Linked DNA regions of Coturnix japonica. The protein of the gene in region 1 purifies or fractionates together with the protein of each later gene. This does not show direct contact. Links are inferred from orthologs where the notes say so. Each region holds a gene or a part of one and is shown in the gene's direction. Other genes may lie near its edges.

Region 1 (9,844 bases):
AACTGATGAATGATGTTCCTTAAATTTGTCCTTGATCTGGTTCAGTTCAATGTTTTAATTATCTGGATGATGGAAAAGAAGAGATAGATTATGAAACTGAAGTGGTGTTTGACATACATTCTGTTTGGAGACAGTGCCAGCCCTGGGAGTCCCAGCACTTATTGGTGCTGGTGTCCTTCTCAAGTCCCTTACTTACTATTGTCAGAGGGAAGAGACTAATTAAAGCTGAAAGTTGTCTAAAATTCTCTTCTAAAGTGACTTTTTGAACATATGTTTTATCAGATATCAGTTGGCTGAGTTTATTCAGATGACCCAGTTGCATGAAACTTAGAAATCTCTTCTGTACACATGGTGGTGAATAACCAGATGTATATAGTTCCCAGCAAATGGGCTGTTGTATTTAAGTCTTTTTTTTCACTTGCTATTTTGGTAAGCTGTTGGAATCAGAAAAAAGGAATGAATTACAAGTTTCATTGTAAACTGTTGATTATACAATGTATGTGCTTAATAACTTTACTGTAGAAGTATTTTCTAGCTACCACTGACACACTGTTGTCCACAGTGCTTTAAATAGGTAGAATGTAAGGATTTTCACTTCTATGGCATTGAAGACTTCACAGGATGCTTTTGAAACTTGTTTTGCTGTTATATCAGTATTATAGCCCCATCAAACTGGCTGATGTGTCCCACTGGAGAAAGAGTTCAGCTCTTCTTGAGGCAGCTGTGGGGCTGCTACGTAGCATTGGCAACCAGTTCATGGCAGGCACAAGAGAAGAGGTATTCAGCTGCTGGGGAAATCTAGGGGGAGGCCATGGAGGCTTTAGAAAATTCCCATCTCAGATTATACGATAGAAAAGGTTCTGTCAATCTTTGAGTCCATAAAATGATACCAGTATTTACAGTCCAGATGGTTTCTGTGTGCTGGGATTATTTCCTGCTTAGATCGATCATCAGAAAAACTTGTTTTAAATGTAATTACTTCAGCATTACGTAGAATGTTGCTCTTGAAGTGTTTCAGCTAGTAGCTGAACCAGGTTGAGAGTCAAAAGGTTTAGGTGAGAATATCTTCTGCATAAAGCTCTGTTTATATCCTTTCTCAGGTAATATGGTCTATCTTTGCTTCAGCTTTTACTTGTAAAGAAGATTTGTTTCTTGTTTTTAAAATCGTGATGAGTTTGCTGATGAAGGAGGATCTTGATACTGCGAGGTGAAGTGGTTGAGAAGTTGATGAGCCTATGATGTGTAACCAAGATAATCTTTATCTTTCAGTGGTGGTGGTAATCTGCAAGGACACTTGAAGCTACAGTACGGGATTTGATAAATATAGAACCATGAGTTCAAGACACTCTCAGAAAATTAGACCTTAACAGTGGGGTTATTCTTAAAGTATTCAGATGTTTCAAATGAAATTGTTATTAATCAGAATTTATTTCATTTCCTTTTTGTTTTTTAATACAGCTTCCCCCTTATAATGAAACAGTCTCATGCGGCATAAAGTCCACAGGTAAGTGTTTCATCATGGTGGGAATTCAACATCCACTCAGGAAAACTTAGTTTTGGAACTTTCCCTACAACTACTACGGGCTCTCTTTAAATTTTTTCTTTAGAACTCAGCAGGTATATCGTCATGTTGCTTTTTAAAGCCCATACGTTGCATTGTACTATTTGAAGATGTTGTATTAAACATCAGCTGATCAGCATGGACATACTTCTCAGTCGTGCTGCCACACAATCTTGACATCCTGCTCAAATAGTGTAGAATGTAACTGTAGATGTATGAAGGACTTTAGCTTGCTGGTGAACTTGTACAGGAGAATCTAGTGGAGTTTCTATTGTGAACCTTAGGGAAGAGAAAGAAAGCTGAGTTAAACCCAGACAGATATGAGAATGATACAAATGTCATCTAGACCCTCTTCTAGTTAATCCAGATATTTGACTGGCTGTTTCTCAGAAGTACTTGTGAAGGTCCAAATACACGTGTTTACAAACTCTTGAGTTATTATGTTTAGCAACTTTGGCCTTGCATTTAAAAGTAAATAAGGTAGTTATAAAAGGGATGAGAGGCCTTGCATGAAAGCGGGTTAACAGCACTATTGAAAATCAGGCGGCTTTTATGTGTAGTGTAAGACTAGTTTTAGGATCCCAAGTAATTTTAAGTAGGAGTTTGAGAAGTTCATTTAAAGGGCTGTATGGTGGTACAAACTGTTACTGGTGATGGGTGCCCAGTCATACGCTGCTTTGTCTAACTACGGATTTAAGCTGTGTTCTTTAAGATGTAGATTTTGATGTTAACAAGCTGTACAGAAAGTTGGTTTGTACAAATGTTTTTCAGATCATTCCTAGATCGTGAGAGAATCCCTCCCTACCCTGAGATTAGGTAATGACAGCGAATTAGGTTTTGCCTGACAAGTGTCTTTAACAGGCTTGCACTGTACTGTGCATGCGTATTATCGCTGTGGTGGCTGCATAAGGAACTGTGGAAACTAAAATGGAATGCTGTGCTTATGCAGAGTATTTGTAATTAAATTGAGATGACACGTACTGACCACATTGTCACCTTGTAGCCTAATTTTTTCTACTCTGAGTATTTAATTTTATTACATAATTAGAAGACTTGTTAATACTTACCAGGAATAATCAAATCACAGCTGAAGCTCTAATATTCAGACTAATTAGTACTAAATGTTCACAGCTTTGGTTATTGTACATAGACTTTGTCCTGGGAGCGTTTGTTGCTGCTTGTTTCAGTATGCTGTCATGTTGTTCCTGACAGATGCATCTGTTTCAGGCCGTTCACCAATTGTACTGTGAACTAGATTGAAACAAACTTGCCCAGAAGCCAAGTGGAAAATGAAAACAAATAGGAAAAAAATTACCTCTTGTTTTTCGGAGGAGCTTTATATGATCTTATGGCAAATGAGCTCCTGCTGGGCAGCCCATAGACTAACTATAGAGTAGATGCTGCTGCTTATCATTTAATTTCTGCTGCAAGGTGTGAAGTTCAATTCCTTGCTTGCGATCTCCTAATTTGTATTTAATGCCAGAATATCACTTAGGCTCTTGGTTAGATTTTGTCCAATGGAGTCATGTTGTGCCTTCAGCTAAATTAACCTGCTGTTGCAGTGTTCTGTTTTCTGCTTTCTTCTTGCCCTGGGTTGGCTCTTGTGATTGTCTAGTCCATGGTAAGCTGATTAGTCCACCAGAACAGAAGAAAATACTCTCTTGGACTATTTTTTGCCAGGTTAGCTTTGGGCAGCACATGTATTGGAAGCTTACAGGAGGAGCTGTTGAGGAGGGTGCACCTGAGACCTCTCACTTTTGGCTGTGGTAGACTTAACTCATAAAAGGAAACCCCTATCTTTGTTTTAATGCAATTATAGTTATTTTTTTTTTAAACTGAGATTTTGAAGAAGAAACAGATGTCCAGAGTGTTTGCAATTGGTAGGAATCTGAAATGTGCACAGTCATTCCTTCTTACTGTGGTTGACAATATCACACGTCACCAGTGGTAGAGAACCAGCTCTTGGTTTGTGTGTGAACTAACAAGTAACTACAGAAGCAGATGAACTAATCAGCAATAGCTACGGTTTGGATTGGTGTCTCTTAAAACCCATGCGCTGCATTTGCAAGCAGAACAGTGACTGGTTGTGAGCCCTGTGTCCTGGTGAGTCAGCCTGTGCGTAGCCCTGGTGAGCCGGTTAGTGCAGAGTGAGGTGACGTCCCTTCCCTCTTAGTTGGATGTCATCTCTCCACCTCCCTGCCTCTGGGCTGCTGATTCTAGAAAGAATTAAGCCCTCTCTTCTGCGTGGCGTCAGGCAGCGATTGCAGAATTAGTTGGTGAAAGGTGACTTGACAGGCATGGTGTTGGAAAATGCATTCACCCAGGTGTGTGGGGAGGGCTAAGAAGGTCTGAAGTTCAGGCTCTTGTTAGCACTGTTTAGGGAAGTCAAATTATTATTGGGAGACTTTTTTCCTCTCTTCATGTTTCCTTCAGTCTAACTGGCAGCAAGATTGAGACATCAGATGTGTTTACTTCACATTTAGATAATAATAATAAATAATAAAGCATTGAGGGAAAAGCAGTTAACATCTGTATTTACTTGTTTTTATATTGGCATGAAATTATATTTGGAAATGGTGTGAGGTATTCATGGTGTAAAATATGATATATTATTACTTGATTTTTTTTTTTGCTTGATAATTTGTAGTATTTTGTTATTGCATGTATCAGACCTCAGCACACACTGAATATGTGTTACGCTTCATTTGATATTATATAAACCTGTACATTTCATCATCATTATTTTCAGTTAGTGTTTTTCCCAGCTGGCTTCTGTAGGTTGCAATTGAAAGGATTTGGAACAAAATATTCTCCAGACTCTGTCCTTTCATAGGAAGATAACAGATAACAGTCTTAGATAAGTCTTAGATGTTTGAGGTGTGCTTTTTAGCTCCCCATCTTTTGAGGGAACACAGGATGTAAAACTATCCTTGAAACAGTGACATCTGTATCATAGAAAGACCTGCTAAACTAAATGACCAGTAAGCACTATGACGTGGATTCACCTTTAATGCTTCTGAGATGCCAAACGTTCATTAGTTTCATCTCTTCGTGGAAGTAGTTACATCCAAGATGGTCAATAGTTGCAGCACATGCATTATAAAACTAAGTTCCATGAAGTTGCAATGCTTTGCAGCTGGTAATATATAGTGATATTGCAGCTTCCTATGAGTATTTGTCTCATTTCTTTAATGATGTCAGGTTGAATTTATAAAACATAACCCACCAATTTTTCAGCACTGATTGTAGTATGATTTGAATGCGGGCTTAGATTGGGGTTTATCTGTTCCATTAGACTGATTTCAAGATGAGAAATGCATCACGCTGTACATAGTCATAGATTTGGCTGTTATAAAACTTGCTAAGCTATCGATGAGCAGAGAGTTCCAAAAGCTGCAATCACATTGTTTCCATGCAATTGAAAATATTATTCACTTAGTGGTTGTTGTAAAAATCTTTACATGCCGTGGAAAAGTGTGAGATAGATTTTTAAAGGCTTGTGCTTTCTAATTTTCTGTGGAATAAGCTGGCTTAGGAAGAAGCACGGGGTTAAATATTGCACCATAATTTGTATGCACTTGCTCAGTAATTAATTTAATTCAGAATATTGCTAACGTCATTGGGTTTCAGTTGCTCTTAGTGGGCCAGTTTAACAGGTGCTCCTTGCACAAACAGTGCAGCAGCTTTGAAAATTGCAGACTCAGCTTAAAAAAGGCTCCATGGGTTTCAGGAAAATGATGTTTTAGAAACAGTCTTTAGGCTTGATACAAAGAGTAAGAATGGTGGTTGTTTGAGGGAGGGTCGCTTGTTTTCTGAGTTGCAGGAAAATATATATAATATATATATTTTTTTCATGTTTTTTTGCTTGATGTCATTTAGTAACTCAGCTTTACTTTTTTTTCTGCAGGGGAGGAGTATCAGAGAATTGAATTTGGTGTTAATGAAGTTATTGAGACGGAGTCTTCTGTACTAAATAACACCGACTACAGTATTTCAAGCACTCTGAATCCTCAGGCTCCAGAATTCATTCTCAGTTGTGCACCTGCTCAGAAAACCCCTGATGTCAGCCTTGGTGAAACAAACTACAACTCAGTCGACTGCCAGTTCTCTGACCCTACCCTCACTCTCGATAGTGGTTCTAATGCTGAAAATGACGGCTTGTCTGGAGGCCTTGGACAGAGGGAGCGTAAAAAGAAGAAAAAAAGACCCCCTGGATACTACAGTTATTTGGAAGATGTCAGTGATGGCATGGCCCCCACAGAAGCTCTTGTAAATGGCCATGCAAATTCATCGGGACTTAACAGTGTCGGCCCGGAGGATACAGAACTGACAGGGGAAATCCCTTCTCTGGCCACACCAAGGACTTGCAACAGCCCGGACAATTCTGTGGACTTCGTTCATGAAGCTGTTTCTGATGATTCTGTTTCTAGCGCACTAGACAATACCAGGACTGCAGGGCAGCCTGAGGTATGCAGGGTTACTAATTCTGAACAGTTTTGCATCCCCTCAGAGACTGGCAGAGATAGCCCTTTAAGGACAGCTGTTGTACAGCCTTATGCTGGTACTGATACTACTGAAAGTCTTGGCGTTACTAATGGACAAACACTTGAATCCTCTGGTGAGGACACAGCTGCCAATGGGGTAGAATTGCACACTGTGGAAAGCACTGACTCAGACCAAGCTAAGCCTGAGGAAGCTTCACCTACTACTGAGGCAACAGCTACGGTTGCAGGATCAATCCCTGTTAATCAGCCTGCGAAATCGTGGGCTAGTCTTTTTCACAATTCCAAGCCCTCTGCTTCCACATCTGTGGTGTATGTTGAGACTAAGTATACCCCTCCTGCCACATCTACTCTTGTCCCTGAAAAACAGGTTGAAGTCAAAGAGGGACCTGTTCCAGTTTCAGAAGATCCTGTAGCCATAAAGATTGCAGGTATAGTTATTACACATGAGTGGATATTACAGTTAGAAGAGTGTTATTAACTTTGCTTGTAAACAGGAGTGTGCAGTATTGATAGAGAAGGCTCCTTTCCTAATGTTCTAAGGGTGAATGTTAGGACACAGGTACGGAAGGGGTAATTTAAGCTGCTTACCTGAGTAAATATTGCAAGATGTTATCATTTGAGCCAGGTGCAGGAAAAATACTGCTGCTTTTCAAACAATGTGCTTAAATGATCTGTGATTCCTAAAAATAATGGACTAGTTGTATTCAGCCATGTGATACTGTAACAGGGAGGGCCTGATAGAAAAGCTTGTGTCTCATCCAGTACTTACGATTGTGTATAATGCCTTGCAGCAAAGAGTGTTAATGTATTTATACCAAAGTAGATGAAATTCCTGATCACTTACAGTAGCATAAATGTGATGGATAAACAGGTTCTGCTTCAAAAGTTCCAATTCAGCAGACAGTAATTGGATTTATTGACGTACTGCTGGAATGGTACGTCTTGCAAATACTGAAGAATGATCTTTAACCATTTGAAAGTATGTTATTTTATTCAGATTAACAGTGCTATTCATTGCCTGTTCAAAAGGGTGATCGTAAGAAACTGTCCAAAGGGTACATTCAGAAAGATGATGTGATATAATGTGATATGTTGGTATTGTCTGTGGTTGTAATGAGCAGTACCAGAACATGAATGTGATTGCTTTCCAACTGAAACTACATGAAGAAAAATAGCCTGTTAGTTATATTTTGTGTCACTACACAAAAATAATTATTTTTAAATCGTGAAATAGTCCAAGTGGTGGAAAACATTGTGTGAAATCCCACTGATTTATACCAGAAGTTAATTTATAAGCACAGCAGCAGCTCACGTGTGGCGACATCAAGACAAAGCTCATTCTTCTGCTATAACTGGAAGCTGATGTGGAGATTTCAGAGCAACCTGCAGCGTGTACCTGCCTCTCATCCACTTGCTCGCTCAATGGTTTCACAGCCTACAACTGTCTATTGAGAGTAAAGCTAATTCTGTGTCTCTTTCACTTGGGCGTCACAAACACAGTTGACTGTGGCAAAGTGTTTGTACATACAGGTGGTGGTTTGTAAGAACCTGTGCATGCAGCGTACTTCATGCTTTCAGAAACTTAAGCTGTCAGGTGGCAATGAGTCTTAAAACTGTTTTGTGGCAACTGTTACAGTAGAACTTCTTACCAAAGCTGTAGGCTTGTCTGGGTTGCTGCAGCTTTAGCTTTGTAGACATGGGGTGTTTCTGTACAGTTTTTTGCCACCAGGTGGGAGCAGCGCCTTTTCTTTTGTCTCTAGTATATTGAAATAGCAATATTCCTTCGCAGTCTTCTTTTGTATCTTCGCTGTTGAGGAGGAGTAGGTTGTTTATCAATCCTTCTCCAGTGGAAAGGAATCCATCTTATTCTGGTTAATTTAGGTGGGAATCATACTCTAGATGACATGCACCTGGTTTCACTATAATACACAGTGCCTTGCTCTGAGGAAAGAGGGAATTTCTTCATTTTCTTCTTTTTCTTTTTTGATGTTAGTCTTGCTTGGAAAGAAGTCCATCAAGTGCTTTGCTTATGCATAAAGATCAGGCATAAATTGAGTTCAACAAGCAAAATTAACAGGTCTTCTGACAGTGAAAGTGTGCAGCTTTCATTTGAGGAGGGTGCTCGAGACACGAGAACACAAATGTCTTTCCCACAGACAGTTGAATTTTGCCAGTGATTACAGGGGGATTAATGGTTCACAGGCACCTTGAAATGAATTTGCTGCTATTTGATTCAGCCTGCAGAAGTCTGTGGCTTCTTAATCCTCAAATGTGAATGAAAGCTCACGGGATAAAGAGGTGAGAATCAGGGCTAGAAGATAAAACACTTGAATAGATTTCATGTCACTCTTTGTTGGGGAAGAATTACTGAACAGTTTTAGTAAGCGGCTGAGATGTGCTGTGAGCATCTGGCAAGGAGTCAAGGGGTGGTCACTTAACTGTGTGCTTTGGTGAGTAGGAATAAATTCAGTGAGGGAATCTAATAAGATATTCTGAATCCTGTTTCCTTGCACTGTTTCTGTTGTGTAGGTGATGGAATTAACAGTGCGTATAAAGTTTGTTTTGCCACAGGCAAAATTTCACATAAAGAACACAAACATTGAAAACGTGAATCAATCTGGAGTGCTTTTAAATTAAAAGGGAGGTAAAATCCAATACAGATAAGTGTGGAAAGGTGTGTCAGAAGTAAGTGCATGCGGACAGTATGAAGGGAAAATGGTTGATAATAGTAGTAGGGAATAAGAGGATATGTTAATTCTAGGGAGTTTATGCATATCCCTAATAAAGTTGAAGGCTAAATTATATTTCCAGTTTGTGTTAATACCAGTTTATGTAGAAAAGATTGAAGATGGCTCTTAGAACTCTGTTGTTAGTAATGGGGACTTGATGAAGAAGTTGGCTCATCCTCAGGCTTTAGTTCTGTAGGGAGATGTAACAGGCAGAGAGAAGAAACATTCAGAAGCCACGTTGTTTCAGCAAGCATGGAAGTTTGGATTTATTTGTTTCAGAAGAGTCTGTAGGAGCACGACAATGGCTCTAACATCAAATATCTGAAAGAAATGCATGAAGACTACAGTGATTCGTTGCTTTCTGAAGACAGTAGCAAGGCAAAAATTACTTCGTTTGTCACAAAGGTTCAATGTCACAGCAAACATGGAAATGTTTTGGGTTTGTTTTCAAACCAGAGCCATGTTCCATAATTACATACCAACAAAAGGGATGTGAGTTCCTTCTGGTTAGTGATGTGTGCTTTATAGTCAGTTCTGACACTCTTAAGAAACTTTCCTCATGATTGTAAGTGTATTTTGCCTTATGATGCTCTTGTAAATATTACTGCCTAATTTTAGATTTGGTATGAAAACGTGGTACGGATGTAATCATGTAAAGCAAAAAATCTTTGTGTTGAAAGAAAACTCACTGCAGTTCCTTTAGACATTATTTAGAAGGCAGTTTTATGACCACAAGAGGATGCTAAAGTCATAGTAATACTTTTATTCAGTGTGACAGGAGATGAGGAAAAATACATTTAACCTGAAAAGTTATTGGTTGACATTAATTAAGAGTTATTCTCATTGTCTTTGTCCTAATTTTCAACAGCAGTTAATTATATTAAGAAGATTGAATGGTGTGGGCAACCCATTTAAACTTTGTTCCATTAGTAATGTATTCTGAAGTTCTTGAATGTTAATAATTTCATGGCAAGTGTGTTTCAACGTGGAAGAGTTTTCATCTGTACCCTTTCAGGTGCCGGGTTCCTTCTGTAGCCAAGCACTGAGAT
Region 2 (10,819 bases), on another chromosome or scaffold:
AAATAAAGATGAGCAGGAGCCAGTCATCTCTGGGCTGTTCTTGTATGCTGCTTGAGCAGGGTGGGCTGAGGTATGTGACTGCTGTTTGGCTATGGGGGCTGGATGCTTTCAAAGCCTCTTCCCTCTGCAGAGTTGTCCAGAAGCAGATGGCCTTTATGCTGGGCCGCCATGGGGTCTTCCTGGAGCTGAATGAGGACGTGGAGGAGTACGAGGACCTGACTGAGATCATGTCCAACGTCCAGCTCAACAGCAATTTCTTGGCCTTGGCTAGAGAGGTGAGCACTGTGCTGGAGAAAGATCTCTGGGCTGCTCCAGGCTGGGATCTGCCCTGGCCACCAGGCTTTGTGCTCTGTGGCAAGACCTGGGGAGAGCTCTCTTATCCCTATGAGCCTGGCCAGGTCCTGCTGGCAAGGCTGTCTTTGTAGAACAGCTGCTGTGGTGCGTCTGTGGGGAAATAACCCTCTTTTCCCTTGTCTCTGCAGCTGGACATCATGGAGCCCAAAGTACCAGATGATATTTACAAAACCCACTTGGAAAATAACCGTAAGAGCTCATGTTTTGACCTTGTCTGTCTCTGGATAGAGCAGACCCCATTGCTTCTGGTGGGCTTTGTCTGCTCCTTCCCTGTGGCTGGGGATGGGGCCTCACCCACTGTCTGGCGTGGGACAACTGTGCAGTGGAGTGTTGGCCTGCCTCACTCTGATCTTGTTCCCCAGGGTTTGGGGGCAGTGGTTCCCAAGTGGACTCAGCCCGGATGAATTTGGCATCCTCCTTCGTGAACGGCTTTGTAAATGCTGCATTCGGCCAAGACAAGCTGCTGACAGATGATGGCAATAAATGGTTGTACAAGAACAAAGACCACGGTGAGGGTTGGAGGTGGCTGTGGGCTTGGGGTTGTGACCCTTTGTGGGCCCTGCTGAAAGTGTGGCAGTTGGGTACAGCCCTGCTGTGTCCAGGCTGGTCACACTGACTTGGGCTTTTCTCCCTGGGAACCTGGGAACTCAACAGGAATGTTGAGTGCTGCAGCTTCATTGGGCACTATACTGCTGTGGGACGTGGATGGGGGCCTCACACAGATTGACAAGTACCTCTATTCCTCAGAGGATTACATTAAGGTGAGTGGCACTGATCTCAGCCCCATACTCACTTGGTACCAACCAGCCTGTCCTGGGGAGCAAGTGTAACCTGTGGGGTGACATGAGTCACTGGCTGGCAGGGAGCTCCATGTGGTGGTGGCTAGTGCATAATGGTGCCTCTGTTTCATAGTCGGGTGCCCTGCTGGCCTGTGGCATCGTCAACTCAGGAGTGAGGAATGAATGCGACCCTGCCCTGGCCCTGCTATCTGACTATGTCCTCCACAACAGCAACACCATGCGGATCGGAGCCATTTTTGGGTAAGGGTCTGCCCTGGCGTCCTTGGCTGTGTGGGATGGTGCAGCCATCCCTGACATTCCTCTCTGTTCTCCATAGGCTGGGGCTGGCCTACGCGGGCTCCAACCGCGAGGATGTCCTGACTTTGCTGCTGCCAGTGATGGGGGACTCTAAGTCCAGCATGGAGGTAGGGAGCAGAGCAGGGTGTGCTGCACGAGTCCCTGACAGCTCCTGGGGATGCTGGGGCTGGTTTGGGCTCTGCATGTCCTTGTGTGATGTGCTGTGCCCTAAGAACATGGCTCCCTCCCCAGGTGGCTGGTGTGACGGCCCTGGCTTGTGGCATGATATCTGTGGGCTCTTGCAATGGGGATGTCACCTCCACCATCCTCCAAACCATCATGGAGAAATCAGAGACGGAGCTGAAGGACACCTATGCCCGGTGGCTGCCGCTTGGCCTGGGCTTGAACCACTTGGGTAAGAAAGGGCAGCACTGGTGGTCCTGTGAGCTGGGACTGTGAGCATCTCTTGGGTGCCCTGAACTCTGTGCCTCTTCACAGGCAAGGGAGAAGCCATCGAGGCGATCCTGGCAGCGCTGGAGGTGGTGTCGGAGCCGTTCCGCAGCTTTGCCAACACATTGGTAGACATCTGTGCCTATGCTGGTGCGTTGAGCTGACCAAGGCTGAGGGAGGTGGGAGTGGGACCAGGCCTTCCTTCTGCTCATCCTTACCCACTGCTGACCTCACAGGTTCAGGGAATGTCCTGAAGGTACAGCAGCTTCTGCACATCTGCAGTGAGCACTTTGACTCCAAGGAGAAAGAGGAAGACAAAGACAAGAAGGACAAAAAGGAGAAAGAGAAGAAAGAAAACTCAGCTGACATGGGAGCACACCAGGTAGGAAAACCTGGGCTGGAACCTGCGGCCCAGGCCCAGTAGCTGCCCTGTCTGGAGTCAGACCCAGAGGAAGTGGCCCCAGCAGGATCCTCTGCTCTCGCTGTCCAGCTGGGCTGTAAGAGATTGCATTTGCAGTTGGTGGTCTCTGCCTGGCATTCAGTACTGGTGTCTCTGCAGGGTGTAGCAGTGTTGGGCATTGCACTTATTGCCATGGGTGAGGAGATTGGTGCAGAGATGGCCCTGCGCACGTTTGGTCACCTGGTGAGTGGCAGCTGGGGGACAATGTGGGGCTGGGAAGGGACCTGGATGAAGAGGGCAGATCTTCTCTCACATCTTGGCCTTGGTAAGCTGGGTTGTGGATGCCCCACCGTGCCCTTGCCCCTACCTGGGTTTTAATATCTTCTCTCTCTCTGTTCCATGCAGCTGCGGTATGGGGAGCCCACCCTGCGCCGTGCTGTGCCCCTGGCCCTGGCGCTAATCTCTGTTCTAACCCCCGTCTCAACATCCTGGACACCCTCAGCAAGTTCTCCCACGATGCTGACCCTGAAGTCTCCTACAACTCTATCTTTGCCATGGGCATGGTGGGCAGTGGTAAGCCTGGGTGGCAGCTTGTGTGTTATGGTGGGCAGCCATGGGACCAGGCCGGTGCCTCAATCCCTGCCTTCTCCAGGTACCAACAACGCCCGGCTGGCTGCAATGCTGCGGCAGCTCGCCCAGTACCACGCCAAGGACCCCAACAACCTCTTCATGGTGCGGTTAGCCCAGGTGATGATCCCACACTTGTGGTTGGGAAGAGATGGGGGTGGCTGTGGATGGGGGGGCCACCACGTGTTGCCCCACTTGTGCTCACGTGCTTTCTGTGCCACACCAGGGCCTGACCCACTTGGGTAAGGGGACGCTCACCCTGTGCCCCTACGCAACAGCGCATAGGGCAGCTCATGAGCCACGGTGGCTGTAGGCTGACTGTTGACCGTCCTCGTGTCCTTCCTGGATGTGCGCAACAGTGAGTAACGTGTCATAGAGTGTTTCATCCATCCCCTCCTTCCCACACTCACACTCTCCCTTTCATCCCCTTTCAGTTATCCTGGGCAAGTCCCACTATGTCCTGTACGGGCTGGTTGCGGCCATGCGAGGCCGCCGTATGTTGGTCAACTTTCGATGAGGAGCTGCGTCCTCTGCCTGTATCGGTTCGGGTTGGACAGGTGAGGAGCTGGAGCCTGATATGGGTGGCTGGGGGGGGTTATATCCCATAACTCCTCATCTCAGCATGCTTGCTCCTGCAGGCTGTGGATGTGGTGGGCCAAGCGGGCAAACCCAAAACCATCACCGGCTTCCAGACCCACACCACCCCTGTGCTGCTGGCACACGGCGAGGCGGGGCAGAGCTGGCCACCGAGGAGCACGTGCCCGTCAACCCCCATCTTGGAGGGCTTCGTTTTTTCCCCCATCCTGCGGCAAGAACCGCAATACTACGACTGTTGAGGGGGGCTGGGGGCTGAGTGGTTGGGGGGGGGGGGGAGAATGACTGGGGGTTTTTTTGGGGGGGGGGGGGTTGTTTTTATTTGTTACTGGGAGATGAGGAAATAAAGTCTGCGTGGATCGGTGCTGCTGTGCTGCCCTTCAGTTCTGAGCCTGTCCGTCGGGCAGCACCCAGCGCACCGTGCAGCTCCGAGGGTCGCGCTGTGTGTCCGTGCCCCCGCCGGTCCCTCCATTCACGTGACACGGGCGGGGGGCGGCGCTCGGTCTCGGTGCCGCCCGGTCGGTGTCCCCTCCCCCGCTGGTTGTGCCCCTCCCCCCGTGGTTGCGCTGCGCGCTGGCTCCGGAAATGGTCGTGCTGCGCTGCGCTGCGGCTGCGTCGGGCCGCGCGCGCTGAAGGAGACTGAAGGTAACGGGCGGGGGCGGGGCGGGAGCGCGCCGCGGGGGGGGGGGGGGGGGGGGGGGGGGGGGGGCACCGGCACCGGGACCGAGTGCGGCGGGGTGAACCGAACCGCGGCGTGGAACCGCCGGGCATCGCCGCGCCGCCGGGCCCCGCCGCTACCGCTACAAGCGCCGCCGCTACCACGTGGGCGCCGCCGGTCTGCACGCCGTTATCCGCGCTAAGCGCCGTCTCTCGGCCCCTCGTTCCGGTGTAGCCGGCCCGAGCGCCCGTTCCTTCCCCACGTGCCGCCGCCGTGCACGTGCTCCGCCGCCGGGCCCCGCCGCTCCGCCGCACGTGGCGCGCCCCAGCGCCCCGCCCGGGCCCGGTGTGAGGCCGCGGGGCCATGGCGGCGGGCGGCGGTGACACGTGTCCTTGGCACAGGCCGCGCCGCCGCGGGGGGGAGCGAAGCGCCGGGTGCCGCCCTGGGCCCCGCGCCGTGTCCCGCTCCGCTCCTTCCTCATCCCGGGGCCGCCAAGATGGAGCCGGCCCCTCCGGCCTAACACCCCCCCCCTACACACACACACACACACACACACACACACACACACACACACACACACACACACACATACACACCTCCCCTCCGCCCCGGGGTGAGTCACCGCCGCCCCGCTCTGCCCCGCTCTGCCCCCCGCCCGCAGCCGGTCGGGCCGGTCCGGGGCCGCGTCAGGCGGTGCTGGGGCCCGGCAGACGCCGCGGCGGCTCGACCCGGCCCGGGGGAACGGCCCCGTCATCGCCCCGCGGCGGGGGAGGAAGGACGGCACGGCGGGACGCGGGCGGCCGCACGGACACGGCGGGGGGGGAAGGCTGGAGGTGTCCGAGCCCGGTAGGCGGCACGGAACGGGCTCCGCGGGGCCTGAGCCGCCCTGTGAGCCGCGGGGCCCGGATCCCTTCGGGCGGCGCTTCGGGCCTGTAGGGCCGGGCCTGTGCCGCCTGCGGTGCGGCCTGAGCCCGCGTCTGGGGGCACCGAGCGGCCCCTCGGCTCGGCCCCGTGCCGGGGTTGGCGGCGGGGCGGGGCTGGGCCCGAGCGGGTCCGGGAGCCCGGCAGCGGGACCCGCGGCCTGAGCCGGCCCCTTGCGATGCCTCGGGCTGACTGTGTCTCTCCCCCCCTCTCTCCCCTCCTGCCGGCCCAGTCAGTCGGATGAAAGGTCTCTGCAGGCCCGATCAGTCGGCCCAGGTTTTTCCCGCGGGGGGGTGAGTATGGGGCGCCGTGCAGGCGCTTTGGGGCCGGGTTGTGGTGTCCCTCCCTGTGGGCCCGGCCTTGTGGTGGTGGTGGGCAGCTCGGTGTGTCTGTAGGCCCGGTGCCTTGGCTGTCCCAGAGAGCTGCTGCCCCTGCTGTACCTTGAATCCCTTTAGCCCCCCCCCATTAGCCAGCACTGTCAGTGCCCTGAGTATAGGATCGGGCCCCATCCAAGCACCTGGATGGTGTCAGGGCTGATGGCTGTATTTGGTGCTGCGGGTCCTTCTGAGGGTTGCTACCCCCACGCCTGGGGGGTGACAGGAAAGTGAGGGGGGTAGGCTGTGCCTTGCTCACCATAGGGCAGGGGGGCCAGCAGAGGGGCTGGGGGGCCGGCAGGCCGGCAATTGCTGACGCAGCCAGGCGTCGGGTTACAGGCACTGCTCGTGGGGCAGCCCTGCTGGCAGTGAGGCTCCCCCCCCTGCCCTAATGCTGCCATGGGACACAGGGACCCCCTCCATGGGCTGCAGCGTGGGGGGCACCTCCTCTCTCCTGCCCAGGTGCCCTTTGCACTCGGGCAGGAAGCGTGGAACATGGTGCCAAGTCCCTCCTGGGACCCAGCTGTGTCCCTGGAGGTGGGGGTGGTGGTGGTGGTGTGGTGGCATGGGGGGGACGTGGGAGCTGCTCCCTGCCCTCCCCGGTAGGCGTTTGCGGCATGAGCTGGGCTCCTGGCACCACCGGCAGGAACAGGTTTGGCCGGCCAGGGGAAGCGCTTTGTAGGTCAGCCGGGGTGGAGCCAGGGCACCCCGGCGTCAGCCTCTGTCCAACTCCACCCCAGCTCCTGGAGCTTCTCAGAGGGGCTGCGTGGCCCTGTTTTAGGATAGGAGATTACTGCAGGCTGTGAACACGATGCCATTTAGCTTATGCCTGTGCCTGCAGATAGCAAGGGGATCCTTATGCACAACCACATGAAATGAACAAAGCTCCACAGCCCACAGGAGGAGCCCCGACAGCCCCGCACCCTGCCCCTTCTCCCGGACTTCCACAGGTAATAGACGGCCCCTCCGATGGCTTTTGGGGGTGGGAGGTGCCCAGCTGCCTCTCTGATTTGGGATGAGGCTTCTAGAGGCTGTAGTGCCCACTGGTTCCCTCTATGCAGTCAGCGTTCCCACCTGGTCAGACGGCACCTGTGATTTTTAACCCGACACCGACCTCACAAATGAATACGCCTTCTCAGCCACGACAGGTAAGGGCTTTGCTATGGGGAAGATGAGGCTTTGGGGAGCTGGTTAAGATCTGCAGCCTCCTGACTGAGCAGCCCATGCTCTTCCTGGTTGGCCACAGCAGTGCTGGGGGCATGAGGATCCTGCCTTAGGGGGCTGGCGTGCACCTGCCCCCAATCTCCATCATGGTTTCCCTTCTCCCTGGCTCTGGGGTGAGGGCAGACAGCTCCTGCAGGGCACCCAACAAGTGACCGCTCTTTTCTCCTTCCTCCCCTTTCCAAACCTTGCTCTCTCCTCTCTCAGTTTCCAGCAGGGCCTCGTGCTATTCACCAGCAGGTACTAACCAGTCCCTACCCTGCATGCTGAGCGCCCGGGGCAGCCCCAGCACCTGGCGCTGCACAGAAACACTTGGGGAGAACGTGGGGAGCTGCACCGAGCCCCAGGGGGGAGCAGGCTGGAGGAAAGAGGTTCATTACTCAGTGGGATCAGCTGGAGGGGTTTCACTGCGGTGTCCCCGAGTTTCTTGGCTGCTTTTGCATGAAGTCTAGTGCATGTGGCTCTGCCTGTGCTAGTCCCAGCCCAGGCCTCTGCTTCTGCCTGTGCCCTTCTCCTCATCTTCTTCTTCCTTCTTTCTGTGGGGTGGAGTGTGGGGGGGGTCTCCTGAGGCAGCAGTTGTGTCACACTGCTGGCCTGTCCCTGACTAATGCAGTGCCCTGGGAGTGATAGTGTCTCTCTGCAGTGTACCCAGCATGTCCCTTAGGCTGTGGGAGGCTGCAGCCATGGTGGGGCTGGGACCTGACAGTGCCAGGAGGTGGACAAGGCCTTGTGCCCAGCAAGCTGGATGTGTCCCCCTGCATCCTGCCTGCAACGCTGCAGCTGTTGCCCCTGGGAGTTTGAGCAAAGCGCCTCATTCAGCTCCAAGGAACAGCTGGGCACAAACCTAGTGACATCCACACTGTGCTGGGTCCCCCTGGCTCCATAGGGACCTCCATAGGGGCAGGCAGCTCCCCGCGTCCCCCAGCATGGGTGGATCTGGGATGTGGCCATCACACTGGCAGCCTGGCTGCTGCTCCTCCATCCCACAGCACCACGCTTGCACTCCCACCCCGTCCCCTCTCACCACCCCATCCCCTCATCCCACCCCAGCGCGGCAGTGTAACTCCTGTCTCTCTCTCTTTCCCCTCTCCCTCTGTCTGCGTGCACTTGCTATCAGGGAGGATTCAGGTCTCTCCAGGTAATGCTTTCTCCTTGCTCCAGCCTTGCCCTGCACACCAGACGTGCAGACACCTCCTTCCCTGCTGCCTGTTCCCCAGCCCTGGGGTGCTGCCACCCAGTAAAGCAGTGCTGCAGGGGCTGCGTGTCCTGCACGTTGCAGCATGGCACAGTGGGACTGCAGGTCCCGGCATTCAGCGCGAGTGCCGGCCCCCATTGCAAGGCACGCTGGGACGTGCCGATGAGCTGCGTGCAGCCGTGGCCGGCTCCGGGCGCTGCCGGCCCTGCTGGGCTGGGAGTGGGCTGTGCTGGGCATGAGCTGGGTCGGATGGAGCCAGGTGGGCCCCCCACAGGTGTGTGGGGCAGTAGGGGGTGCCTGGAAAGGAGGGGAGGGGGTGTAAGGGGTGAGCTGCATTCTGGTGGGGGGGCTCCCCTCTTTAAATCTCCACCCAGGGGTGCTCCCTGTGCCTAGGATGAGTTTTGGGGTGATAGGTGCTGTGAACCTTCTGTCTGGGTTAGAGGGGGGGCCTGGCTCGGTTGCCTCGTCCCTTTGGCAGGGGGGTGCTATTGCTCTGGCCTCACTGCATCCCTGTCTCTCCCAAAGCATTTCTACCAGAACAGGGCCCAGCCTCCTGCCAGCGCGTCCCGCGTGCAGAGCAACACAACGGCCCGGCCTGGCCCTCCTGCCCATGTGTATCCAGCTGCTTCCCAGGTGATGATGATACCCTCCCAGATATCCTACACACCTTCCCAAGGAGCCTATTACATTCCCGGACAGGTGAGGGCTGTGCCCCGGGCTCTGCGGGATTGGGCTGGGGTGGGCTCAGGGTTGGAGCCCAAGTTTGTTCTGGGAGGTGGAGGGGGTTACCCTGGTTCTCTGAGCTGTCCCTGACTCCATCAGGGTGTTGTCCAGCTCTGCAGAGGGGCAGCACCTGTGGGGTTTTGTGGGCTAACCCTGGGTACTTGATGCTTGTCTTGTGTCCTGTGCCCTGCCTTAATGGCACGCAGGTTTGGGGCACGCACTGGTTTGGTATTTGCCTGTGCCCTGCTGGGAATATAACCAACTTTCTTCTCCCCTATTTCAGGGTCGTTCAACGTACGTTGTCCCAACACAACAGTACCCAGTTCAGCCTGGTGCCCCTAGTTTTTACCCTGGAGCCAGCCCCACAGAGTTTGGGACTTACGGTACAGACTGGGGGGATTACTCTGTGTGCCATTGCTCTTCCATCCACGATGCTTCATCCCTTTTGCTCCTCTGACTCTGGCCTCCCTGCAACCCCACAAATTGGTGGGCTGAGCACAAATTCCCTGTGTCTCTGGGTTTTGTGAGGTGCATTCTGTGACTGCTGACGCCACTACGTGCTCTTTTGGGATCTTAGGGGGGGCTCTATGTCTCCCAGTGCATTCCTGAAGGCCGTGCATCGTGTCCCATCTGTCCACCCACCTCCTTTTCCAAATCGGGACAGATTAATGTTTAACTGCCCAGGCAGAGGGACAGGGCAGACTTTATCCCCTTTTCCCCTTGGCTTGCAAGCTGGTGGTGAGTGGTTGTTTGGTGCTGCCTCCCCTGCCTGAGCCAGCTGCATGTCCTGGGTGAGCAGGGTCTGGGCAGTGACTGCTCCACGCCTGCCCTCTCCCGGAGCTGGGGAGTGGTGGTAAAAGCAGCCCCCCCTCCTTCCCCCGGCTTGTATGCAGCCACCCAGGCTGTGACTATATTTAGGCTTGGTCCTTCCCGGGAGGCCTGGCAGACTCAGAAATGTGAGCTGAGGCCTCCGTCCCGTCCCCGGTATGGCAGCAAAGCAAACTGGGGCGGAGAGGGGTTTCTCCTGAGCCAGGTATGTGTTTGTCCTCCCTCCCTTTTGTCCCATCAGCCCCTCGGAGGGAGGAGGTGGCCCCAGGCATGGCCAGCTGGGCCCAGTCCCAGCACTCGGCCTGTTGCTGCACTGCTCCATAGTGCCTGGAGCGTGCTGGGTGGTTCTGTCCCCTAGCCTGCAGTCTTAGGGTCTCCTCCTTCCCCATCCCCCTAGCTACTAGAGGGATTTGAGGCCCTTCTGATGTTCCCCCAGCCTATCACTGGGGTCCTCTTCTGTGGCTTCATGGCTTCCCTAACATCTGGCCCCAACCCCAAGCTGCTTCCCTGGGCAGGCAGGCTGGCTTTGTGTCACGCGTGGGTCACCAGAATGGGGGCAAAGTGGCTGTCAGTGTGTCACTGAGTGAGTTCTGTGTTCAGTGTGGCTGAGAAATGCTAGAGGTGGGAGGAGGCCAGGGTACAGCTGCCCCTGTCCCTCCCTGTGCAGGTACTGCAGTCGCTTCCAGCCTGGGGCACGATGCAGCCCTGGCTGATGCCAGCCCTACCTAAGAAGCTCATTGCATGGATAACTTGGGGAGGAACACAGCACCTTTTGGGGTCTGGATCAGGGCCCAGTGTTGCATCCAGCCCTCAGCATCATTCAGTGCTGTGAGCTCAGTTCACAGTGGTCTGAGTGGGGAGCCCAAGGGTGTGAATGAATGGAGGGCGTGGATGGGGCTGTGTGGAGCCGCCCTTAGGCTGCTGCTGGCCCAGGAGAGATAAGGTTGCTGGCAGGAAGGCAGAACCCATGGAGCCAGGGCTCCTGCACCCAAGCATGGCTCAGCATCCCGGAGGGACTGGCGGTGTCCTGGAGCCGGTGGGCACGGCTGGGTGTGGGGGCGGCGCAGGGACGCCGCGTCTCATAGGGAAGGAATTTGGTCAGGCCTGTCAGGTGGGTTGGGATGATGCAGGCCAGATGCTACTGGGGTTCTCTGCAGTGTGGTGTGGGCTCCCCTGGCTCCTGGCAGTCCCCCTGCATTTGTGGGAGTGGGAGGACTGGACTCGGTGGATGCACACTGGACACCTGCTGCCTCTCACGCTCTCTCCTCTCCTCTAGCGGGTGCTTATTACCCGGCCCAGGGGGTGCAGCAGTTCCCAGCGGGGGTCCCCACTGCCCAGGTCATTGTGAGCCAGCAGCCGTCGATCCCCCCAAAACGAGAACGCAAGACGGTAAGGAGC
Region 3 (10,762 bases), on another chromosome or scaffold:
ATGGATCTTTGCTGCTCTGTAGGGTGAGAAGCAGAAGGATCTCACCTTGTCCTTAATGTTCAGGGGAGCTTTGTAATCGCAGAGGATCTCTGAGCACGATATGCAGCCACTGATTGCTGTGGAGGACAGAAGGTGAGCATTGCCTGATGTGGGGATGTGGGCAGGATGGGTTTAGCACTGTCCTCACTCACCTGCGTGGTGAAGTGCTGTCTGTCCATTGCTGTCAGCTACATCCACAGGGCAGGAAGCCTGAAAGGGAGGGAGCCTGGGTTACAGCAGGGTGGGGAACAGATAGACTCTGCAAGCTACATGTGGCTACTATAGGGCTATAAGGCTGCCCCAAATCAAACAGTGCCAGATAGAGCCAGGAACCATCATGCCAACCAGCACCAGCACTGAGGGAAGGGAGAACAGGGATAGAGGGCACCTTGCTGGGGCTGCCCTTAAGGTGCTGGGCTTAGTGTGGTGTGACACCAGGTACAACACCCTCCCTCCCAACCCCAGTACCTGCAGCAGCTTGCTCACACACTGTGGGTGTCCGTGCTTGGATGCCAGGTGCAAGGCAGTGTAACCTGCAGAGAGGGACAGACAGACAGGTCAGAGGACAGACAGTGGGTTGATAGCACAAGGGGGACAGATGGGACAGCAGGACCCGCTGGGCTGAGCAGGGCTACCACAGCATTAGAAAGGGGTATATGGTTGCCATGCCCTCACCTGAGCTGTCTTTGGTCATGGCATCCACACCGTGAGCCAGCATGGCTTCAAGGCAATCCACATTCCCCCGGGTGGCAGCCAGATGAAACCTGCAGCAAGACCCAGAGCTGTCAGACCCATCTCTCTCACCTGAGCCCCATCACAGCCCTGTATCCCTGGTGACACAGGCCAGCACTTACGCAGATTTGCCCTCTGAATCCAGCTTGGTGGGGACCAGACCCTTGCGGACGAGGAGGGATGCCACCTTTCCAGCATCATTGTAGTCCACAGCTTGCAAGAGCTTCTCATCGTTCTTGGTCCAGTCCTGACTCTGCAATGAAGCCAACGTGAGGCTGTGATCCTTGTGCTATCATCAGGGGCAAGTAGGATGTTGGACTAGACACAGTTACTAATCCTCATCCCCTCCCCTTCTATCCCACCCAACTCTATCCCTTAGGTGCACTTTCCCAGCTGCTGCTGTGTCTGCTGTGCTGCATGAAGGGTTTATCTAGGAGATCTGATTTGAATGAGGTTCCCCTTCATCCCCCAACCTGTTTGCAGTTCACAGATGGGGGAAGTAGCAGAGCTGCCCCAGTTTAGCTCTGAATGTTCCAAGGTCTTGGATGCTCCCTGATTGCCCCCCACCCAGGGTTTGTTCCTGCCACCCAAGTGACCCTGATGCTATCCATAGGCAGCACACAGGGGTTCCTGAGCCCTATCCCTGCTTGGGTCTCTCCATTTTCAGCCTTGTTTTTCTCCTTTCCAAGGAAGGGGTGAAGTCAGGGCAAGCAGAGCTGACAGTGAGCTCAGGTCCCTGGGGATGACTGCAGCCCAGTGTTGGGTACGATGCTCCTGAGCAGAACTGGGGCTAGGTGAGGGTTTGCTGGCCCATTGGCCCCACACATCCCTTCCTCAGGGAATGACCCACAGCAGAGCAGGAGCTGGGGCTCACCCCACAGCCTGGGACAACAAACCAGAGCTTGGCTGCGGCTGGGAAATGGATGTGACCTCTGGGAACAGCTCACATCCTGCCCCTCACCAGCTGATGCCCAGCGCTAGACAGAATCCCTGTGCCACAGCACCTGTCCTATATAGGGCCAGGGGACCCTGATGTGGGGTGTGGAATAAAACAGACTCCCAGGGTTACTGGGCAAACTGGGAGCGTGATGCTCACCCCCACCCCTTTGTCTTGCAAGGACAAAGCAACTCGGGGAGGATACAGCAGAGCCCAGGGGACAGGGTTGGGAATAGAGGGGGTCCGGACGGGGGTTGGGGGTGACAGCTTACCCCATGTGCAGGACTGAAGGGGAGCGGGGATGGAGGGACGTACCGCAAAGGATGCAGCGGCACAGAGGCAGATCTGCTTCATGGTGTTGAGGAGGAGGCGGCGGGCAGCCATGCATCCCTTGCCTCTCTGCCTGAGCTTGGGCTGGTCGGGGCTCCAGGTTAAGGACCCCAGACCACGGGTCGGTCCGGTACCGCCACCGGGGCGGGGGCCGAGTCCTGCCGCAGTGACAACCGGGATCCGCCTCCTGCCGTCCCTTCGTCCCTCCTTCCTTCCCTCCCTCCTCGGAGCCCAGAGCTTCAGCATCCCTACATCCCTGCATCCCTACATCCCTACATCCCTACATTCCCTATCATCGGCCTTACATCCCTACATCCCTGCATCCCTACATCCCTGCATCCCTACATCCCTGCATCCCTACATCCCTACATCCCTACATCCCTGCATCCCTGCATCCCTGCATCCCTGACTCGGAGCGGGTGCTGAGGTCCCACCAAGCACCAAGTCTGGTCCCAATTAGAGTGGGAGGGTGTGTGTGTGGAGGGGGGAGGAGTAGCTCTCTCACCCCTGTGCCCGAGAAGAGGAAAGGATGCATCCCCAAACTATAGGGACAAACATCCTCCTACTGCCTGCAAGCAGCTCCCCAAGGAGGAGGAAGGATGTAGGACCTCAACCCTGCCCTGAGGGACAGAAACTGATCTCCCATCGCTCTGGGGCTAAGAGGGACACAGGATCCCCCCACCTGAATCTTAGGGGACCAGTGACCCCCTGCAAGGAGGGAACCCCAAAATGCACAGGCTCCTCCACCTACACATCCCCCTGGTGCTGCCATAGGCAGTGGGGACGGCACTGTCACCTTCTTCCCAGCCTGGAGAACAGCAGGAATATGCAGCATTGTGCCAGTCTGGTGCTGAATAATTAAGGAGCATTGACTTGCTGGCTTCAAAGTGGGAACCCAATCTGGTTGCTGTGGCTGGAAAGCTGGCAGCCATCCCTGCATCCCATAGGACAGAAATGGGTACAGGATCTGGGACACATTCACCTCTCCTCGGTGCTGCTTTCCCTTCCTTTATTCTGCCCTGCTCACAACTATGATCCCAGTGGAAGCTGGGTCACTGGGCAGGTGCCCATGTCCCCATGGGACATCCCAGGGCAGATCTCTGTGTCCCCATACCCCCACGAAACCCACTGACACCCCAGGGCAGATCCCCACATCCCTGTGGACAACCCAGGACACATCCCTATGTCCTTGGGGACAGCACTTACATCTGCCTTCCTGAACTTGGCCTTCAGGCTCTTCATAGCAGTCCCGTGGTACCTGGGTTGAGCCTTAAAGCCTCATCTGCCCGCTGGGGTCAGGCTGTAGGGATGTGGCTGTTGCAGAGGGCAGCTTTGAAGGCTTTTCTGCTGCTGCTACGGGTCCAGCTCAACACCAGCCCTGTCTGTACCTTGTCTCACTGCTGCTGGCCCACAGCACGACACGGGGGGGGGGACACACACACTGGCATTGGGTTACCTCTGCAGTTACAGCCCGGGGGGGGGGAACATGGGAGGGCCCAGCACCAGGCAGGGCAAGGAGCACTGACATCCTTGAAACCCCTGCACCCAGACACAGGGCAGCTGCAAGGGAGGGGGTACTATAGCAAGGCTGGGGAAGCCTCAGATGAGGGAGAGAAGGGTTTGAAACCATCACGATGCTTCAGGTTATGTGTTAAGGAGAAATATTTCATTCATAAGGCAGGGAGATGCTGGAACAGGTTGGTTAGAAGTTGGGGATGCCAATTGAAGGCACTCAGGGCTGGGTGGGATCCTGGGGATCATAACCCAGCAGCTGGTAACCCTGACCAGTGTATGGGAGTAGAACTAGATTATCTTTAAGGTCCTGTCCAACCTAAGCCATTCTATCACAGCCCTATTATGGATCTAGGTCTGCAGGCATTGTAAGACAAGGCATTTTAAGACAAGACATTGTAAGACAAGGTATTGTAAGACATGGCTGAGGCCAGCAGAGCTGATGCCCTCTGCCTTTGTATGCACTCATTGCATGGCACCTCTTAGCATAGGCAGCTCCTTGTCTTTTTCCACTCCAAGTTCTATGTTTTATAATGGATGTATTAGCAGGGTGAGGGCAGAGCTCCCTATTGCCAAACACAAAGATGGCGGCGAGGACTTCTCTAGGCGTGACTTTTGCGCATGCGTCTTGAGGCTGCGGCCTACTCTAGGCAGTGCTTTGCGCATGCGTCTTGAGGCTGCGGCCTACTCTAGGCAGGCCTTTGCGCATGCGCACTGATGCCGCGGCCTCCTTGCTCGCGGACCGACAACAATGAGCTCTCCGGTAGCCGGGACGGGTCATGGCGGTGAATTACGCGGCCGGGCTCTCGCCCTACTCGGATAAAGGCAAATGCGGCCTCCCCGAGGTGAGAGCGGAGTGGAGGGATCTCCTTGCATAGCCTGAGGCCTGCGAGGCCTCCATAGGGCCTCCATGGGGACCCCAAGGCCTCCATAGGCCTTGTGCCCCATGGGGACCCCAAGCACCATGGGGTCTTTGGGTTCCCCGGTCCCGGCCTCCGTTCCCTTCTTCCTATTGCTCTGTGTCCGTTGTCACCCCGTCTTCGTGTCCCCTTTATTCTTTAGGGCCGGCCCTTTACCTTGGGGTGGGCACTACTGGGCTGACCCCATCCCTATGTCCCCCCCAACCCCCACATTCATGCTCAATAAGCTTAAGAAAAGCTTTGGGGTGAGGATATGGGGCTGTAAAAGGGTCGGAGTTCTGTCCCATTCTAGGGAGCAAAGAACCGTCCTATAGAAATGAATTTGTGCTGTGCCAAAAATCAGAATGGGCCCATGACCCCCATCCATCGCTGTCCCCCATCCTGCTCTTTTTAAGCCTTATTCCCTCATTTTAAGCCTTATTCCCTCATTATGTACATTTGGCATTAAGCAATGTGAAATTTCCTTTCCTGCGTGGGGTTTCCATTGTGGATGTGATAGAAGAGTGGTTTGCTGACTCTTTGTGCCTACCAGGAGGCATGTAGGACCCATTTCTATATCCCCATTCACGTTGGGATTTGTTTCTTCTGCTCAGATTTTTGATCCACCTGAAGAGCTGGAGAGGAAGGTGTGTGAGCTGGCAGACTTGATAAGGAGCTCTTCCAATGTGGTGTTCCACACAGGGGCTGGTATCAGCACCGCTTCAGGGATCCCTGACTTCAGGTAAAGGCAGAGGGCAGCAGGCACTGTGTGTGTGTGGGGGGGGGGGGACACAACAGCACCTCATCTGAGTCCATCTTCCATCTAGGCTGGGCTTCCTGCCAGCCATCCTGCCTATAGGGAGACCTGTGCCATCCTTTCATGTCCTCTTTGCTCTTGTCTTGTCCTATATCCAGCTGAATCTACCTTTTCCTGTTTTGATTTTAAACTGTACCCACAGAAGCCCTACATGCATTTTGAACTAAAATAACCAGGAATGTGTGGTCCTTGTTTAGCAGTGCCTTGCTTGCACTGATAGGGCTTGGGATGCATTTACAAGCAGCGTAGCAGAGCCTGAGATCTCACTTATTCCTTCTCCTGTCCCATTGCTGCAGGGGGCCTAATGGTGTCTGGACTATGGAAGAGAAGGGGCTTTCCCCCAAATTTGACACCACCTTTGAGAACGCCAGGCCCTCCAAGACTCACATGGCACTTCTGGGGCTGCAGAGAGTCGGCATCCTGAAATTCCTGGTCAGCCAGAACGTGGATGGCCTTCATGTGCGCTCAGGATTCCCACGGTACTGCCTCTCCCACCCTGCCTCCAGGTTCCTTTAGTCTCTCCCAGATGCCAAAGCATGGCTGTTCTCCCTACCTTATTAAACCACCCTGGAACAATGTTTCTTGTGTTAAATGCACAAGGTGTTCTCCATTCATTTCTGTCATTTCTCTCACAGGGACAAGTTGGCTGAGCTCCACGGGAACATGTTTGTGGAGGAGTGCACGAAATGTGGCAAGTACGTGGGCAGCAGCAGGTGGGGGCTTTGTTGTTGTCCTAAGGAACAGTGGAGGGACTGCACAGACCTGGGGCTGCCTGTCAGGAGAGGTCCCTAGTGCAGAGTGCATGGAATCATGGTCAGATCTGTCCCATCTGAATCACAAACCCTGTCATATTGTGGGAAATAAACATTTTGAGAAACCTCTGTTGCCTGGGAAACCCTCTGCTCATTGTGGCAAGTGAGGCTGCCTGCTTAGAGAGGTAACAGAAGGTTGCTGCAGGCTGGGCTTTGCATCCTGGATGGTAACAGCCTCTCTTGGCCTTGGAGCTGATGTTCAAAGCTCCCTAAAAGGGAAATTATTGTAAGCAATAGCTGTGGTTTGAAATTGATGAAGGATTTGGGTGCCCAGCTCATTGCATGTGGCTCTGAGCCATCACCTGCTTCCTTCACTCCCAGGTGTCTGTGATGTGGAACATGCTGTATTGTGGGGATGTTTCACAGCTGTGTCACCTCTCTATGTGTGGCTGCTGTGAGTCACCCTATACGTGTGGCTGTAAATAACACCATCTCTTGTGTGTGCAGGCAGTACGTGCGGGATGCTGTTGTGGGCAGCATGGGGCTGAAGCCAACGGGCAGGCTGTGCAGCGTCACCAAAGCACGAGGGCTACGGGCCTGCAGGTACGTCTGCTGGGGCAGCTATGGGAGTAGGGGTGCTGGATGGGGCTTCCCAGGGTGCTGTGAAATGAAGAGGGGACACAGAGTACCTGGGAGGTAGGAGTGAGTGATTTTGATGTTCAGATTTTGTGTTGCAGGGCGACAGGGGGTCTGGGTTATAGAGCTGTTACTTGTCTCCTAGCCATCTCTGCTGACCATTCCTGCCTGGCAGGGTAACAGTGGTCCTTGTGTCTCTTATAGAGGGAAGTTAAGAGACACTATTCTGGACTGGGAAGATTCCCTGCCTGACCGTGACCTCACACTAGCAGATGAAGCCTGCAGGTACCATATTTAGAATTGAATATCATGACTGCTGATTGCTGCAGCTTGCAATGACCCAGGAGGGTGTCTATGCCCTTTGCATTCTGCCAGTACCACAGCAAGCAGCCCTTGGGTTTTATTTTTCTTACTTTCTCTCTTGGATATTTTATCTCCTCCCTGCAGAAAAGCTGATCTCTCTGTTACACTGGGGACCTCTCTGCAGATCAAACCCAGTGGCAACCTCCCACTGATCACAAAGAAGAGAGGAGGGAAGCTGGTCATAGTCAACCTGCAAGCAACCAAGCATGTGAGTGAGAGCATCCTTGCTGCTCTACCCTGCTCTTTTCCCTTCACTTGTTTCAGTCCCATCACTTGTTCCCTGCACATTGTCCCTTTCCAAGCAGCCATATAGAAGTGACAGGCTGGGCATCTATTGCTAGAGCTCTATTGTTATTGTCCCATTCTGACCTGGGCTTGCTAGACCCTGGCTTTGCATCCATGTCTGCTTTGCTGGGCTGTATTTAAAGGCACAGACTGCCTGTTCACACCTGGATGCAACCTCAGCAGCCTGCAGCATAGCCAGGGAGCAGTGTCAGGTGGGGCCACGGTCTCAGTATGTGTTCCCTTATGGAAGATGTCCCTGGAGTCTGCGTGCAGCTGAGCCATTGCCCAGTCCCTGTCCCCAGGCACTCCCTGAGAACAGACATTTGTTCCTGTACGTCGTGTTTGTCCCCCTAATGCTGCATTTGTCCTTGCTTACCCCAGGACAAACAGGCCGACCTGCGCATTCATGCTTATGTCGATGATGTCATGACAAAACTGATGAAGCACCTGGGACTGGAAGTCCCAGAGTGGACAGGGCCAGTGGTGGTGGAAAGTGCTGACTCTGCCAAGCCTGAAGAGATCTACACATTTAAGCCCGAGGCTCACGGGTTGCTCAAGGAGGAGCCCTTTCCCCAACACAATGGAACAGCTGGGCAGTGCCCTGACCTTGGGACCACGCTGGTGGAGCACGGTGACAATCTGAAGCAGGAGCGTCCCAGTCCAGGCACAGGACCACCACTGACAAAGAAGATGAAGGTAGAGCCTCTCCTCACCTGACCCAGACTGTTCCCTGTCTGACCAGACACTTACTTGTCTGTGCCACTTTTCCTACCAACTTTTTTTTTTTAATATCCTTAAGCTTTGTCCCTTTTTTTATGTAAGTATTAAATACACTTGAATCATGTATGTCTGGGCAGCTGTACCTGCAGGAAGAACCTCCCCTGCTCCATACAGTTCCTAATCTGTAAATAGGAAGTTGCAGAGCCCAGGCTCTCAGAGGACCCCGTGATAAGGGTGCTCAGTGTTGGGTAGGGGGAGTGACATAACAGGATTGGGCAGCTGTTGCTGTCTTAGAGCAGAGCTGGGTGGTGGTGGAATGCTGTTCTGGTCCCTTTGCTGTGCCCATGACTCCTTCGGCAGCCCTGGATTGAGTGTCCCAGCTCTGCTGTCACAGACAACAGCAGTCAAGGTGTCTTTGAAGCTCTATGAATTACCTGTATTAAACTAAGGCAGGTGATTCTTCTTTTTTGTTTCTTTTTTCTAAAATACTTTTTATTTAGAGATGAAAATGAAGTTTGTTTGTTAAAAAAAAAAAAAAACAAAAGAGAGAGAACAAAACCACCAAGCTGCAACATCAACATCCAGCCAGACCAGGCCTCCTCTGGTACCCCCATCCCCACCTTGACCAACCCACGTCCCTTCCCCAGTTCCCACTGTACTCAGCAGGCAGGAGCAGCCCCTTCCTTCCCTCCTGGTAAGGCCAATAGGAATTAGTCTCCTCTTCCCAGTTTGCAGATAGAAGCAAAGCCAAGTTGGTCTCTAGCATCTGTCCATGCCTGGAGAGGGTCCCCAAGGGTCTTGTCCTAGAGGTGTTGAACTCCACTGTGTCCCCTGCAGTCCCTGGGTGCTGCTTAAAGCTCCTCAGCTGGTTCCAGCACTGTGGGCCTGCTGTGGTCAGCTTCGGTCCAAGCAAGTGACGTCAGGCTTTGGTGCAGTGCAGTGCTGTCCCCCAATGCAGTGCCAGATTGGTCCCCATCACTCTGGCTCAGCCCCTCTGAGGCAAGTGGTGGCGTGTTGTTTCGGGTGGGAGCTTTATCAAGGTGTGGAGTGAAGGAGCTGCTGCCAAAGGCTTTGTGCAGTGTCTCAGTTTCATCCTGATGCTTTGACCACAGTGGCTCTGGTGGCTTCTCATCCCCAGCTCGGGGCTGTGCATAAGCCACACGGGAGGCAGCTGCGTTATGCAGGGACCTGGAGAAAACTGAGCACAAGGGGGAGTCAGGGCTGGCAGCAGTGCCCTCTGTGCAGCCCTAGCATGGCTCCCACAGCCCTCCTTACCTCGCACTGGTCCGAAGTCACCACCTGTCTCAGCCTTGCTAGGGGCGAAAGGGCTGATGGAGGGGAAGACAATGAGTGCGAAGGAGAGCAGCAGGACCTGGGGACACAGGGGTGGTGTTACCATAATGTGGCTCTTGAGGAGGACCAGGCTCTGCAATGTGATTCCCAAAGATGGGGCTGGTGGCAGAACCAGGGCTGTGTCCCTCCATTTCTCCCTGGCAGGACATCATCCGTCCACCCTTCACACATGTCCATCCCTTCTTATATCCATCCAACCCTGGAGCATCTATCCCTACACATCAGCACACCCATCCATCCTTGGCAGTGCACTTCCAGTGATTACTAACTCCCTTGAAGCAAGGAGCCCTGGAGGAGATTTAGGGCAGAGAATGGGGACAAGGAGCAGGGAGCTCCACGCACCGCAATGCAGGTTCCTGTCTGTGCTGCTTTATTGCTCGACTGCACCACCAGAGCCTGGAGCTTCTTCAGTTGCTCCAGGAGAGACCTGGAGATAGAGAGAATGCATGAGAACCCCGAGGTCTGAGATCCACATCCCAGCAGAGTCCCAACCACCCCTTCACCTTCCCCTTTGTCCCCGGTCTGTTCTGGAGACACCTACGAGTTCTGCTTCTCTAGGTGCAGGACTTTCCTCTGCAGCTCCTGGTTTTGAGCTGTGCACGCTGACATCCTGGGGGACAGAGAGAGGGACGTGAGGGGTGCCAAGCATTGTGCCTATCAGCAGCCAACCTGAGGCAGGGGCTCAGTGGCCGTACCGACTCTCCAGCCCATCGATATATTCCTTCTTCTTCTTACGGCTCTCCTGAGCTGACTGCTTGTTTCTGATCTTCCTCCGGATCTTCTTCAGCACTCGCTCCTCATACTGCAGATAAAGGGGTTGTTTGGGCAGCCAGGACCTCAAGTATGGCATCCATTTGTTCCATCTCAGGTACTCACCTTGGTGAGGGGCAGCTGTGTAGGCAGGGACACCCCCTCCTTTGCCAGCAGCTTCTTCTCATCCTCTGTCAGCACAAGCTCCTGGAACTGCCCCTGGCCCTGCCTCAGTAGGGAGCTGGGCATCTGTGGCTGCTGTGGGACCGTGGATGGGTGATGATCCTGGGCTGCAGGCTCACCCCATGCCTGCCCCAGAGGACCACAGGTGGGGACCGTGGTTCAGGGTTGAGGATGACATCCAGAAAGGGACAGGAACAAGACTGCGTGTAGTTTAGAAAGGGGAATAAGTGGGGGAGAGACAGGGAGGGATGAGGGCAGGAATGGGATCATGGTCCAGGAAGTGGCAGGGATAAGGAGGGAGGGAAGGGACAAAGGTCCAAGGAAAGAGACAAGGATAGGAACAAGAAAGGATGAGGGAAAGTACAGGGATGGGGATGACGCCATTCTTGAGGAATGAGGGTGGCATTTAGGAAGGGACAGGACTGGGCACAAGGAGGGATGGGGAACACGGTGG

What was found.
Region 2: the proteins of USP10 (region 1) and EIF4G1 purify together in Homo sapiens (affinity purification with mass spectrometry; 4 studies listed by BioGRID, with this or other methods). This does not show direct contact. The link is inferred for Coturnix japonica from reciprocal best matches to the Homo sapiens genes USP10 and EIF4G1.
Region 3: the proteins of USP10 (region 1) and SIRT6 purify together in Homo sapiens (affinity purification with western blotting; 4 studies listed by BioGRID, with this or other methods). This does not show direct contact. The link is inferred for Coturnix japonica from reciprocal best matches to the Homo sapiens genes USP10 and SIRT6.

What each region holds. Positions count from the first base shown.
Region 1 is NC_029526.1:14,977,445-14,987,288, forward strand, and holds part of USP10 (ubiquitin carboxyl-terminal hydrolase 10), read left to right. Parts: intron 1-1,458; coding exon 1,459-1,504; intron 1,505-5,468; coding exon 5,469-6,494; intron 6,495-9,844. UniProt on the Homo sapiens protein: Hydrolase that can remove conjugated ubiquitin from target proteins such as p53/TP53, RPS2/us5, RPS3/us3, RPS10/eS10, BECN1, SNX3 and CFTR.
Region 2 is NC_029524.1:13,907,578-13,918,396, forward strand, and holds the start of EIF4G1 (eukaryotic translation initiation factor 4 gamma 1), read left to right. Parts: upstream 1-4,027; 5' UTR 4,028-4,146; intron 4,147-4,985; exon of another isoform or gene 4,986-5,005; intron 5,006-5,312; 5' UTR 5,313-5,373; intron 5,374-6,295; 5' UTR 6,296-6,329; coding exon 6,330-6,404; intron 6,405-6,515; coding exon 6,516-6,602; intron 6,603-6,882; coding exon 6,883-6,915; intron 6,916-7,792; coding exon 7,793-7,813; intron 7,814-8,026; exon of another isoform or gene 8,027-8,105; coding exon of another isoform or gene 8,106-8,144; intron 8,145-8,395; coding exon 8,396-8,569; intron 8,570-8,876; coding exon 8,877-8,976; intron 8,977-9,607; exon of another isoform or gene 9,608-9,626; intron 9,627-10,697; coding exon 10,698-10,810; intron 10,811-10,819. Other genes in the region: PSMD2 (26S proteasome non-ATPase regulatory subunit 2), read left to right, coding at 131-275, 483-543, 717-863, 1,009-1,115, 1,267-1,394, 1,471-1,558, 1,683-1,845, 1,929-2,030 and 4 more.
Region 3 is NC_029543.1:1,707,467-1,718,228, forward strand, and holds SIRT6 (NAD-dependent protein deacetylase sirtuin-6), read left to right. Parts: upstream 1-4,247; 5' UTR 4,248-4,329; coding exon 4,330-4,395; intron 4,396-5,063; coding exon 5,064-5,191; intron 5,192-5,562; coding exon 5,563-5,745; intron 5,746-5,901; coding exon 5,902-5,961; intron 5,962-6,525; coding exon 6,526-6,621; intron 6,622-6,858; coding exon 6,859-6,939; intron 6,940-7,101; coding exon 7,102-7,225; intron 7,226-7,683; coding exon 7,684-8,019; 3' UTR 8,020-8,148; downstream 8,149-10,762. Other genes in the region: ANKRD24 (ankyrin repeat domain-containing protein 24), read right to left, coding at 46-116, 192-249, 508-572, 715-803, 894-1,024, 2,024-2,092. UniProt on the Homo sapiens protein: NAD-dependent protein deacetylase, deacylase and mono-ADP-ribosyltransferase that plays an essential role in DNA damage repair, telomere maintenance, metabolic homeostasis, inflammation, tumorigenesis and aging.